Bombyx mori: one gene and its partner. The protein of the gene in region 1 binds, or shares a complex with, the protein of each later gene. Links are inferred from orthologs where the notes say so. Each region holds a gene or a part of one and is shown on either strand. Other genes may lie near its edges.

Evidence for each region. Proteins that work in one complex are often made in the same cells at the same time.
Region 2: transcriptional adapter 2A (region 1) and molybdopterin synthase catalytic subunit share a complex: the UniProt entries of both Drosophila melanogaster proteins name them as parts of the ada2a-containing (ATAC) complex. The link is inferred for Bombyx mori from reciprocal best matches to the Drosophila melanogaster genes Ada2a and Mocs2B.

Annotation. Positions count from the first base shown.
Region 1 is NC_085111.1:1,074,598-1,081,154, reverse strand, and holds transcriptional adapter 2A, read right to left. Parts: upstream 3,764-6,557; 5' UTR 3,756-3,763; coding exon 2,457-3,755; 3' UTR 2,447-2,456; downstream 1-2,446. Other genes in the region: cysteine-rich protein 2-binding protein, read left to right, coding at 871-1,052, 1,774-1,854, 3,764-3,856; DnaJ-5 (dnaJ (Hsp40) homolog 5), read left to right, coding at 6,255-6,557. UniProt on the Drosophila melanogaster protein: Component of the histone acetyltransferase (HAT) complex ATAC; predominantly involved in acetylation of histone H4, including at Lys-6 (H4K5ac) and Lys-13 (H4K12ac).
Region 2 is NC_085131.1:1,994,993-2,002,326, forward strand, and holds the start of molybdopterin synthase catalytic subunit, read right to left. Parts: upstream 4,869-7,334; 5' UTR 4,600-4,868; intron 4,529-4,599; exon of another isoform or gene 4,122-4,528; intron 3,875-4,121; 5' UTR 3,559-3,874; coding exon 3,430-3,558; intron 1-3,429. Other genes in the region: putative leucine-rich repeat-containing protein DDB_G0290503, read left to right, coding at 6,703-7,334. UniProt on the Drosophila melanogaster protein: Catalytic subunit of the molybdopterin synthase complex, a complex that catalyzes the conversion of precursor Z into molybdopterin.

The DNA.
Region 1 (6,557 bases):
AAGTCAATGATAATCTAGAAGATTGCACAAAGTGGGAATGAGTTGCTCGCTCCGGGCATTTCAATATTGTAAAATTGTTATGTTATAATTCCTTTTTGTAAAAATGAATATTTAAAAAAATCTAATATTCAAAAATAATAATCTAATATTTAAAAAAACAAAAAAAAAAAGACATGCCCGCTGAGTTTCTTGCCAATTCTTCTCAGGACGGAGGCTAATTCTCGTGAATTGGCGGTAGTTTTGACGTTCAACAAGTATGCACTTTCATTTATGTTGAATAAAACTTTTTTGATTTGATTTGATTTGATAATATATAAATCTACAGTGGTTTTTACGGATGTTCCGTTATAACTACTGAACCATGCATCCGATTGACTTGAAACTTGGTATCCATGTAGAAAATACATGTACTTAATGGATAGGCTAATATTTATATGAGTGTTGGACTCCCTACACCAGTTGCGGGGGCGTCAATGATGAGAATGTTTGTGGGGGTGAGAAATAATGATGTTAATTTTAAATGCCCAGCGAAGCGGATGGGTACAGCTAGTTGGTTTACATCAGGCTAACAATTGTGAACACTCGTATACATAAACATACAAGGTTCAAAAACTAAAAACATCGCGGTACCGTGTCTGATCACGCTTTTTATAGACATCTGCAACGTAAATGCCGCAACCTACCTTGAGATATAAGTTCTAAGGTCTCAATATAGTTAGAACCCCCGCCCTTCCAACCGAAACGCATTACTGCTTAACGGCAGCTATAAGCAGGGTAGTGGTAACTACCCGCGCGGACTCACAAGAGTTCCTACCACAAGTAATAAGGGAAATTATAATTTTGCTTAGATATGTTTGTGATGTCCGCCAGTAACTGAGGCCCTGCAGTACCCAGAGTTCAGCTGCGTAGTGACGTACGGACGCCTGGTCGTGGGCTGTGCCTTCCTGGTGCCGGACGCGGGACATTCCACCGCGTACATCTCCTTCGTGCTCACCAGGCCGGAGTGGGGCAGGGCCGGCATAGCTACATTCATGCTGTACCATCTACTTCAGGTATACTCGCCCATGAGGAACAGTAAGGCGGACATTTATTGCGATATTTCAGGAAGATGGATCTGGTTACCACATAATCCAGTCTCCGTAGTGGAGAAACTTTCTTTAAAAAAGAAAGTTGTATCTCCAGTGAAGAACATACGAAGTAAGAACATATCGCCAGATCTTAATACGTTGACTGCCATGTAGGTCACCGGTGCCCTACGTGGCGCACTCAAGTAATTATGTCGATTTCTCTCTTTTCTATCTTCTTACTAAGGCGCTGAAACATCTCGTAGTCGCTGGGAAAGAATTCGAAGATACTGAGAATGAATATATTTCTGGAGACCTAAAATACTAAAACATATTATATTAAACACAAAAGAAGGCAAAATTAAGCAATCCCAGCGCTTAGTAATAGAGATCGACATAATTACCTCAGTGCGCCGCGTAGGGCATCAGTGCCCTACATGGCGGTCAACGTATTAATATAATATTAATTCAATCAGTAAAACGGATCATGATATGGGTTGCATGGCAACGGACACAAAACTGTTCATTTTTTTTAAATAAAGAAGGTTCACCCTGCATTGAATACTGGTGACTTCAGGTCAAAGTTAGGTTATATATAATCTTACTCTATGGGTCAAAGTATCAACTGCATTGTATGTTTACCTTAAATTATTTGCTAATATAAGGTTCAGGCTTAAGTGTTGTAGACAATTACCTTTTTTACTTACAGACTTGCACGGGCCAAGATATCACACTGCATGTGTCACCAACAAATCCAGCTATATTTTTATATCAAAAATTTGGCTTCAAAGTGAGTATCATGAAAACCCTATTTCTCTGGTATTATGGTACAATGTATTATCAGCATATTATGATACATTATGAATATCACTCAATGTATTGTAATTATTATGTAAACTTATCTGGAGTTTTACAAAACTGCTTCACGCCAGAAACATGCTGATGCATAGATTAGTCTACTATTTCAAAGCTACTAAAATTTTGACCTCATACCTCATATTACCAATGTATCTATGTATCTAACTATTTTCATCGCATTTTACACTACCACATTATTTGTTGATAATGAATCCAAAAGTAACATTTTGTGCACAAAGAACAGACAAACAGACAACGTGAACTATGAATATTTCATTTCTGCAGTTGGGCTTCTGAGCTCACACCCAACTCACCTATCCCAAAGTATTGTAATGTCACTGCTCTCACACTGTTCAAGTTATATTGAAAGTATGAATACTTTAAGACTAAAATAGGCACATTAGTGGTAGAAATACACACAGGCTAACAATACTTTGTTGCATAATAATTTTCGATTGATAAATAGTTGACAAGTGTGTGTATCTGCAATTCAGCATAGCATATGTGGTGTTAAATGATACCAATTTGTCATAGTCACAATGGTTTACTTATAAAACCTTCATATAACAAATAATCATAAATTTTCCTAGTCTTATTTACATCTATTTTAACAATTTTCCTTGCATCTAAAAGTCGTAGGAATCCAAGCTTACTGTTCTGAGCTATAAGATGCTCTTTTATTTCCAAGTAGTTTGTTGGTACAAGCCTCAAATTAGAACATAGTACTTGTTCAGCCTCACTCAGCCTGTGGAAACCTGGCAAGTCAATTATTTCTAAGGGCATTGCCATACGCTTGTAACGCAGCACTTGGTGGTTTTTTGTGTACATAGTCTTCACTGGTGATTGATTTTCAAATTTCTTGGCCATAACACATGTAGCATACTTTTGTTCTTTCATGATTATGTCATTTTCTTTTTTAAGTTGCTTATAAAGTTTGGCAGTATAAAGAGTTTTTATACCATTCTTACGGTATTCACATAAATGTCCAATTCTCTGTAACAGCTCGTTCTCTAAGCTCATGGATTCCATGAAAGCGTCAAACTGTATTCCTGTCATGAACTGCATGAAGCAAAGCAATCGTTCTGCTTTCTGTCGTGTTATAGTGAGGTCAAACTTTTGGATCCATGAGAAAAGCTTATTTGGCATTACTAAGCCATGATTCTGTATAATTTTATACCTTCTATGTCTTTCTCTTAATCTTGTATTAAGAGCATTCACTAAAGACACCTTTAAAGAATCCATCATGTCCATTTCATCCTCATCCTCATCATCATCTTCAGAGTAACTGTCTTCAATATTAAATATGCTTTCAGCATTGTGATCATAACTGAATTCAAATTCAGATCTATATGTATTGTAACCAGCTAAATGTTGATCTGAACTGTTATTTCTAGGCGGATTAGTGCTTACATCTGTATTGTACAAGTATGGAGTAATTGGCATTGGAAAAAGTGACTGTTGTGTTTCCTTTAGTAATCTCAATTCTTTATACTGCACATTCTCTATGTAATATTTCCTATAATGCTCTTGACATTCGAGTTTAGAACGTGTGTGCACATTCTTAGATATTTCTTCCCAATTTCCGAATCCGTATGTAGAAAGTGCTGATAACAATTTGCACTCTTCTTTAGCAGACCAATTGCAATTACCGAATAATGGAAAATCATTTCTTCTTATCGCGTATTTGTGGTCATTTTTATGCATTTCTGTTTCCTTGCCGGATGAAAAACAAGGAGTGCAAACATTGCTTTCGCACTCGCAACATTCGATAAAAGGCTCGTGTGCGACTTCTGAACACAAATCGCAGTTCGTTTGTAGTATATCTCTGGACATTATTTCAGGTTGAAGAACTTATACAAGACTTTTATGAGAAGTACTACGACATCGAATACAAGGGATGCCGGCACGCGCTCTTTCTTCGACTTGTCAGATAAATAAAGTAGTACTTTAAAAACCTTTATTTTATTTACAAACAAAACCTAATAGTCTAACTATCACTTACCTATTGAACAAACTTCAAAAATTCAAAAACAAAAGAACTAAACACCTACATTTCGATAGAACTTCACGCACAGATCAGTTGTTTATTGGTTTACAATAGAAGATAGTGATTTTTTTCTATTTAGTAAAACCGGTTAAACTATGTAATGTTAGGGATTACTATTTCAGCAAACGTTTAGAAAATACAATATTTAAGTAAGTACGGTTCCTACATAATAGTAGTAGTTTTATTTTTTCAACTGAAAAGTCAATGGTATCATACCATACAGCCTAATCTTTTATAATTCATTTTATATGAAAAATGATAATATGAAGTGTAATTAAATGAAGTTGATTAATGAAACATGGCATGAAATGAAATGAGGTTGGATAATATGGGATAAAATATAATCTCAGTAAAATGGTGGTCATTTACTAAGACTTTTTCAATTGACTTTTTGGAAGATCCCGAGAAGTTACGTCCAGTGCCTTTGTTTCATTTTCCCACATTTGTGCACTTTCACAGATACTAAACAGTTAATAAGCCACGTTATTACACATTTAAATCTAACAAACAAATCACACAACTTCACTCCTCGCGGTTCCGCCAAAAAGATCTTACCTTTTTTGTTCTTGCCCTGTCATACATACATAACTTTATTCAAAATAACTACATATCTCGGTGAGTAGGGATGGTGATCAGGGATTGATTTCTGTTTAAATCGATCTTTTTATCATTATAATAGCCAATCCATCTAGGACATTAGCAAATCAAAATGCATTTGCAAACAGGTTATCATCATATCATGTGTGAAAATCCATTATTATTGGAAAATGAAATAAAGTTGCTGAACGTGACGTCTCGGGTTCTTCCAAAAAATCTATTGAAACAACGCAAATTGATGACAATATCAGTTAATAAACAAATTCATTTCAATCCGATCCATTCCATTTGACATCAAAGCATCGATATTAAAAAAGTATTTTAAAGTCGGTGCTGGTGACATTACACGGAAAATAAAAAAAAAGCGAATATCGAAAAAATATATTTATGGGCAGTCGATTTTCTCTTTTTCGAGAAGAAGGATCATTCCTACTTTTTCATATATCTGTACTTATGTCTTTGTCAACGTTTACTATGTATCACTGCTAAATATCTGTTACGACTTCATACTTAACTCTTAGGTGTGTACTTATAGGTAAGGAGAACTATCTTAAAATGAGAGACAAGTTGAAGAAGCATCCGGCTGTAAGCAGCAAATTGCAATTCAGAAAACTCATTAAAACAGGGCTAGTGTAGCAAATGGATGATGTAGAAATTGTAAGGGAGTGAAGTATGCTTAGTTGAAAAACTTTCTGGGCTATCTTTAAAATTACACCACTGCCTACGATGGCGCTACCCTAATTGGTCGCCTTTCGACGATCACTTTTTCATACACAGAAAACCATTTCTCGAAAAGTATGGACGGTAAAGGCAAACAGCGGGTGATGCTTACAGCTGGTTCTGCTTACCTCTAACCTCCATACTTTACCAGCAACGAATAAAACACAGTGTTTTAGTTTACTTAGGAAAACTGGGTAACTAAATCCAAAATGTATCATTTGATTAACCCGCTATGATAGATGATGTTCTTCTTTGATAAGCTTCCTTAATTTTTGAATTTGTTAACAGTAGATCTAATAAAAAAAACAATCTAAAAGATATAATAAACACTAGTATCGCTTTAAAATAAATAATCCCCTTTTCAGAATAATCATTAAATAGATAATATTTTGAAAACATGAACAATTAAATATTGCATTTTTTATTTATTAAGTCGTAACAGAGAACATGGTAAAATAAAAAAGAAACAACGAGAACATACTGACATTTATAATCGGGTCGAGATTCGAGAAAATGACGTGCCCATTAGCCGATGAACATAGAAATTTATATTTGTCTCTTTTTAACATTAGCTAGTTCATATTGCTTTCTTTTTATTGCATCTCGCTCACGTCACGGGTGAAGGTCCTAGAATGTTCTAGATGTTTTGATGTATATATTTTGGTTCGACGAGAGCGCCGCGTTTCATTCAATTGTGATATTGCTGAAGTGAAGTGTTGAGTTTTGCGTTGTGATTATTTGCTAAAATTTCGTAAATTGTGCTTAAATTATCAAGGATTAAAGTTTCTCTAATACAAGTAAGTGTTCTGAAAATGCTATGTTGATTTTTTTCATTTAAAAACCGTGGTTTTGTTATAAAATGTGGTCTATCAAATTTATGAAACGAAAATGATCGACGAAATCGTGCTTCCAAAAAAGGTGTCAAACGTCGAGACTGATCTTTTTTTTTTGTTTCAGTACAAATCAAAATGGGCAAAGACTACTATAAAATATTGGGAATAACAAAAGGTGCTTCGGACGATGACATCAAGAAAGCCTACAGAAAATTGGCATTAAAGTACCACCCGGACAAGAACAAGGCTGCGGGCGCAGAGGAAAGGTTTAAAGAAGTGGCAGAAGCTTATGAGGTTTTATCGGACAAGAAGAAAAGAGAAATTTATGATGCGCACGGCGAAGAAGGCCTAAAGGGTGGTATGGGCGGGCAGAATGGTCCTGGTGGCGGTCAATCATTTTCCTACACGTTCCACGGCGACCCGAAAGCAACGTTCGCG
Region 2 (7,334 bases), on another chromosome or scaffold:
ACAGACCAAGGGCGACCACTTCTTGACCTGTCATCTACACTAGAGTCTTCATTGTATCGTTTGATGGTATGATAAACGAATCTTTTGGTTATATTCAAATTTTTCAGTATGTTAAAAATTTGAATTGGCGCGTAACCGCAACGATGCAACGCAATAACTGCAACACGGTCTTCTTTAAGCGTCCACTCCATATTTAAAAATGAGTAAAATTCTAAAAGTATACATTTTTATTTTCATGAACAATTCGAAATTCGAATTCAATAAACTTTTTTGTGGCCAGCATTCTAAAAGAAAAGTTTTTACTGTGTGACAATACTTATGACCTGACTAGTTATATGCTAGTAACGTTTTTTTATGAAAACTGAGTAAATTTTACATGAAACATTTAATAGAAACACGAAAAAGGTTCTAATACGTTTGTCGATTTACGTAATTAATTGTGGCATGGTGATCCTTGGGTCCGTGGTCTGCTCCCAACATCTGCAGACCGTCAACTCCCGCATACCCCACGTGCCCCCTAAGCGCTGATACCTCGTAGGTTTGCCCCCCTGCTCGAAAAAAATGGCGTTTTGCGAGCCCGTGCGGGTAGGTACCAATACCTCACATAGATCCGCCGCGGAGAAGTTGTCATGCATTCCGAAAGTTGGTAGACCCGTTAAACAACACATTCGATCTTATCGTGTTTTCTTCGGTTTTGCGATTTATATACATAATTAAAAGTAATCGCACGTGTTTTATTTTCATTACTGTCACGAAATAAAAATAAAAAAAGTAGCTTTAATTAATTCGATCTCATGTCTTTAGAAGGCGGTGGTACAAATCTCTTGAAGAATCTAGAATAACCCCTCGACGTTACTAGAATAGGTAGAAAAAAAATATGGAATTTACTTATCACCAGGTCGTGCCGTGAAGACATTTAGGTATTAAGTGAAATAATTAAAACAATAATCGTTTTCACGTAAAATTCATTTTCAAGGTAAATTATTTGTTTCTTTTACTTCCTCGTTACGTTAAATTTGCATTGGAATGAACAAATATTGATTTGTCAATTCAACTGTTATTTATAATTGCAAATATACAGCAGCTGTTATAGAAGTCGATAAAATTCGTTTTTTTATAATACGCTTTTATTAGCTCGACATTCGTATTTTGCGATGTGAATTTGTCGGTGTTCTTATCCGATAGTTATGGTTTTTTTTATTGCTTAGATGGATAGACGAGCCCACAGCCCACCCGGTGTCAAGTGATTACTGGAGCCCATAGACATCTACAACGTAAATGCGTCACCCACCTTGAGACATGAAGTTGTATAGTCTCAGTATAGTTACAACGGCTGCCCCACCCTTCAAACCGAAACGCATTACTGCTTCACGGCAGAAACAGGCAGGGCGGTGGTACCTACCCGTGCGGACTTTACAGGTCCTACCACCAGTAATCACTTATTTCTATTATTTTTTTTCCAATAGGATCGTTGGTACCCCCTCAAGCTGTTATTTTGACTACGCGCGGTTTGGTAGATGAGCTCCCTCAACCTGAGAGAATTACTAACCCTGGCCCCAACATGATCAGTGCTTTGCTGAATCTACCATCGGATCGGAATCGCGAGCCACTGAGACGTAGTGAGAAGATCCGGCGATAAACTCAGTGGATAGGTTGTACGTGGAACTCTGTCGTATTTGACGTGTTCGACGAGAGCGGTAACCAGTGCCTGGAATGCCTAAAAGCCCGGAGAGTCGATCGAGAGGATTCGATAGTATTTTTTATTTATTGCTTAGATGGATGGACGAGCTCACAGCCCACCTGCTGTTAAGTGATTACTGGAGCCCATAGACATCTACAACGTAAATGCGCCACCCACCTTGAGATATCAGTTCTAAGGTCTCTGTATAGTTCCAACGACTACCCCACCCTTCAAACCGAAACGCATTACTGCTTCACGGCAGAAATAAGCAGGGTGGTGGTACCTACCCGCGCGGACTCTCAAGAGGTCCTACCACATGTTAAAACTTTTATTGTACACGTTACGTTTTTATTACACGATGTTATTCCTTCACCGTGGAAGTCAATCGTGAACATTTGTTGAGTACGTATTTCATTAGAAAAATTGGTACCCGCCTGCGGGGTTCGAACACCGGTGCAATCGCTATATACGAATGCACCGGACGTCTTATCCTTTAGGCCACGACGACTTCAATAAATGTCGTCGGATGTTCTTTAGACGACGGTACCTTTGATTTGCCTCGTGGCCTGGGTCGGATATGTAATTTTAGGCGGTCACGATAAGGTTTATTTCTAATGAAATACGTACTTAGTACACGTTCACGAATGACTTCCACATCGTGTAATAAAAATCCGATATAATAGTAACGTGCGTAATTACTAAACAATTGAGATGTAGATGTATGTATATGGACTCCAGTAACCACTGAACAACAGGTGGGCCGTGAGCTCGTTACGAAAATATATTTTTTTTATCTCGAAACTAGGAAGAAACAACCTTCTAGTTCAAAGTGGCCCGCAGCATACCGTATGAACAGACTTAACTTGAAAACAAAGGTATAAAAATGAGTTTAAATTTTTGAAATATAATCATTGCTAACATCGGTATGACTAAACAATCTCTTGTTATTTACTGCATTTACATGAATATTTTTTACTTCACCACATTTATCTGACTTGGTTGTTGTTTACAAAAAGTGTTCAAAGAGGTCAAACTATAATATAAAATAAATCATTTCTTATCTATGGAACGTAAACAACTATATCTGTGTTGGAAATTGTAAATTTAGAAGATGCAAATAGACAAAGAGTTATGGCCATATTTTCTTTATTTATATCTTCAGCTACGCACGGACGGGTTGGTAAGCTCATGGGGTTCATCCTGAGAGAATTTGCTAACAATAGTCCTAGTAAGAGAAATCCAATCCAGCGAGAAATTAAGTTGGTTATGTATTTGGGCTAGGTTGCTCTTCAAACTCTTTTTGTCTAAGCCTCAGTTTTTTCATTGCAACAATTTCCCCACCCTTTAAACGGAAACTCATTACGGCTTCGCGGAAAATATAGGCAGGATGGTGGTACTTACCCGCGTGGGCTCAGATATGATGCCCTATCACCAATAATTACACAAAAATTATAATTATTGCGGGTTCAATTTTTATAACAAGTAATGTTATTCCTTTATTATAGAAATAATTTGTGAACATTTGTTAACCTATTTCATTAAGAAAATTGCGTCGCTTGATGTGAATGCACCGGGTGCCATATCCTGTAGATCACGAAGAATTTGCTGCCTATAGTGACATGAAATATCACTTAACACTAAAATGGTTAAAAGCCATTACCGTTTTGAACAACGGGCTTCACATACAGAATCTTAACAAAATACCTATTTTCCTAATGACTAGAAAATTTTAAATAATACAAGTTTACCTTTTTTCCTTCAAAATTGTCTCTAGTTGTGCCAATAAACAATGAAATTGCACCGCAGCTATCATCAGTTACAAGTTCACTTATTTCTTCGACTGACAGTCTATCTACTGTTAATTTTATATGGTCCATCCTGTGAAATACTATTTAACCTCCACTCAATGGTGGTATAACAGCTAAGTTGTCTTGTTCATTAATTTCTATATCTACTGTATCCTCACACACTACCTCGTTCTTAGCCAAAAGTATATTTTTCTTAATACTGTTTAAGTTATATTTATCGCATATAATATTCAACAATCTCTGATATCCCAACTTTCTTGGTAAAGTTATGGAAGTTTCTCTAACTCCCGACAATTCTTTTGATTTAGCAAAAAACAATAGCTTCACTGTTACAGTATCTTCTATATTTTCTATTTCCATAATTTACCATAGTCAATCTACCAGCCTGCAATAAAAAGATGTGTTATTATAAACCTGTTTGTAAAAAAAAGTTGCTTAAGTAAAAATAAATAAAAAACATTACAACAAAATAATCAATATAGCTACTGTCAATACTGCTTCTAAATCTGTGTAAATAGTAAACAATAATGATTAAAATACATACATGTAATTTGAATTGAAAAAAAAAACTAGAAAGTACAAAATGGTGCTGCAAAATCTAAAGAAAAATATTTAAAAAATTAAATTCTTACTTTATTTCGAATTGATCCATAAAAGACTAAATATGTTGTACTTGTTGTAGGATAATAAAAAGGTTTTTAATTTCCGTTATACACTTTCCATGTACATCAAAAGTATTTTAAAAAATTATATATCTACTGACTGCATCACCGCGGCGTTTCATTTACTTACTGACTGATTCACTCGACTTACCTACATGAATGTCGTGGATATAGTTTTTATTTTATGGGCGACTGCTTTAAACATGTTGCTGATCATTGGACCGTGTCGGAATTTCACGATCTAATTACATACACCTACTTTCATACAATAGATACCTATACTTTACACAGTATAATATTATTAGATATTTTCAAGTACGTCGTTGGTACAAATGTCATTACAGCGATCATTTAATTTAAACTGTGTGATTTTTATAACTAGGAGGTTATACCGTAACCTTGAAAATCGTAACATTTTATTTATTAAAGTAATTTTAAATATACTTACTGTATCTTCTGTCTTAAATGGTAGTAATGTAAGGGTTTTTTTTCCTCAAACTTAGATTAGAAATTTCACTTCTTTAAAATTCTTACTAACTATTAGGTGTTATAATTAAGTTAAAATTCAAATTTTAAAACTCAAAAGCAAAACAAGAGACAGCTGTTATAGTTTATGAATTAATAACTTTTTGTTTGATCCCAAAAAACAGGCAAAGGAATAGTATTTCATAGGCTTTGTTTCAAAAAGTAAATTCTTTTATCTATCTATCTCTTAGGTTTATGGCGTTTCCTTTTAGATTTCGCCAATGTCAAGTGTATATAATACTCTGCTTTCTATAGCGGGCTTCGTGAATTAAATTAAAGTAAATTCTTTTGCACGAGAAGCGTAAAGGTGTCATTACCAAGCCATACTATTACCTTTTTTAAGGTATAAAAAAGGTAATAGTTTAAAGTTTGAATGATATCAGTTTTCGTAATAGGCCAACCAGCCAAGTCCAGTGATTTTGCTCCATTTCCATCTCCTAGAATCTAGGACCTAGATAGTTGAAAAGACCATATTAGTTTAGTATATTAGTTGCAGAAATACCTAATTGGAAAAATATTACAATGGCATATCCAATTTCATTCTTGTGTTCTAGTCATAGTAGATTTACACTTTTCTTTCTTGAATCTTATCCATACAACGGTTGAATGAAAGAGATCGCTTTAGAAGACAGGACCACACCTTGTAATTAAATTTTTATAGCATATCTACTTCGCTCCCATTGTACTAAGAAAAATTACCCGTGATAAGGTGCATGCGAAAATTTAACATGAAAATTAAGAGTCAATAACAAAACTCAATTTTACATTTATAGTATTTTAAAAATATAGATATTCTTTTAGGATCTCTTTTTAGGGGTTCAAAAAAACCCTCTTTCCAAGCGAGAGTTGTTGATAAAATACTTAAAATTTAAACTTAAATTATAAATATGTCTGTTATTAACTACTATCTCTCCATCATATTAAATCATGTTTATGTTGTATTTTCATGTCTCAGGCCTATTTATAAAATATCTTATAATCCAATTAATAATCATCATATGTTCAATAGTAGTGATCCGTCTTTGCACGGGATGAATAATGATATTGTGAATTATGTAATAATGAATAAATATAATCATATAATGTATAAACTAATTATTGCTGAAAGTACATCATAATACAAGTAAAAGAAAGTACATTATTGTTTACAGTAATGGCCATAGGTAATATATTGTAATTACATCACGTGTATTATTTTTACTAAGCTTTATGTAAAAGCTTCAATATTGACAGTTCTCTTTCAAATGAGAGAAATTACACTTTCAACCCCTACTTTTTAACTCTCAAAGAAAATATTCCTAGAAGTGAAATTTTGAAAAACAGCAACAAAAGTTTACGCATAAACGATAATATGTTTATTTTTTAACAAGTAGCGGAAATACGACATTTCGTATTTTAAAATGACAGTGTCGAAATGTTGTAGCGATGGCTCTATAGGTTGACACTCTCTTATTATACATTAAGGTTAATCCTATGAGTTTAGATTTGAATTCTTTCGGTGATCATGTCTCCTGCCGTTTGACATTCTTTTTCTTCCACTTGACCATAGATAATGCTTAAACACCTTCGCAACTCGATTTAATTTTACGTCACTATCGATACTAACTGCACTACCATAATCTGACAATTGACAGTTCAAATTGAAAAAGTTACCGAATTCAAACGGTTTTCAATCCGGTATGTTTGTGTGCTGCTTCTATGTATACTGATCGTTATTTTTTGGCAAGATTCCCTCTGGGTGCGCTTCTTATATAAAATGGACTACGTACAACGTACAACACAAAAAGGATAAAAATAGAATACGAATGCGAGTTTCAGTTCAGTGCTCGGACATTTTTGTTTTCTAATGACATACTTACCGAACCGTTTATTTTACGAAATAGAAATCAGTGAAATTATTTGAAAAATATTTGATGTTAGTGTTGGATTGAATATTTACTTGTGTCTTCAGATCGTGACGTGTCGAGCAGAGCAGAGTCTTAAAAACGCTACAATCAACCGTTGTGTGTTTAGTGATATATAAAAAATGGCAAATCGCGATGAACCGATGGATATAGACAGCTTAGAGAGTGATTTTGATAATAAAGAGAATACATATCACAATAATGTGTTACCATGTACAGAGAAAGGATATGAGGAGTTGGATGTGTCAGAACTCAACATGAAATTGAGGTATTCTATAACCCCAGCCGCATCACCTATGTCGAGGAGCTTTACTAACTATACTAGCAATAGAAGCCTTGATAATGATGATTCACTAAATTATTCCAGCAATGAAAATAATTTGACTCGATCTTTAAATTCTAATATATCAAAGAATGAAAATGTGGTAAAATCTCTTAAAACATTGCCTCTCCAGTCACTTCCCACTGACCAAGTAGATCGAATAACAATTTTACAACAGTTGGATAGTGTTGAGTTGACGGGTGATACTCATGATATCACTGTAACTGTTAGTAAAACAAACGATGATGAAAACATATCACTAGCAAGTTCATCATCTTCAGCATTACACAGTCCTGATGCAACAACACCAACAAAAGAACCCGAAAAAAATGAAAATGAATCTCCAATAATGAGAGGTCTCAAGAGCGTACTTAATATTTTTCGTTCTTCACAAAGCCCTATACCCCCTGGAGATAATGATGTGGGATCAAA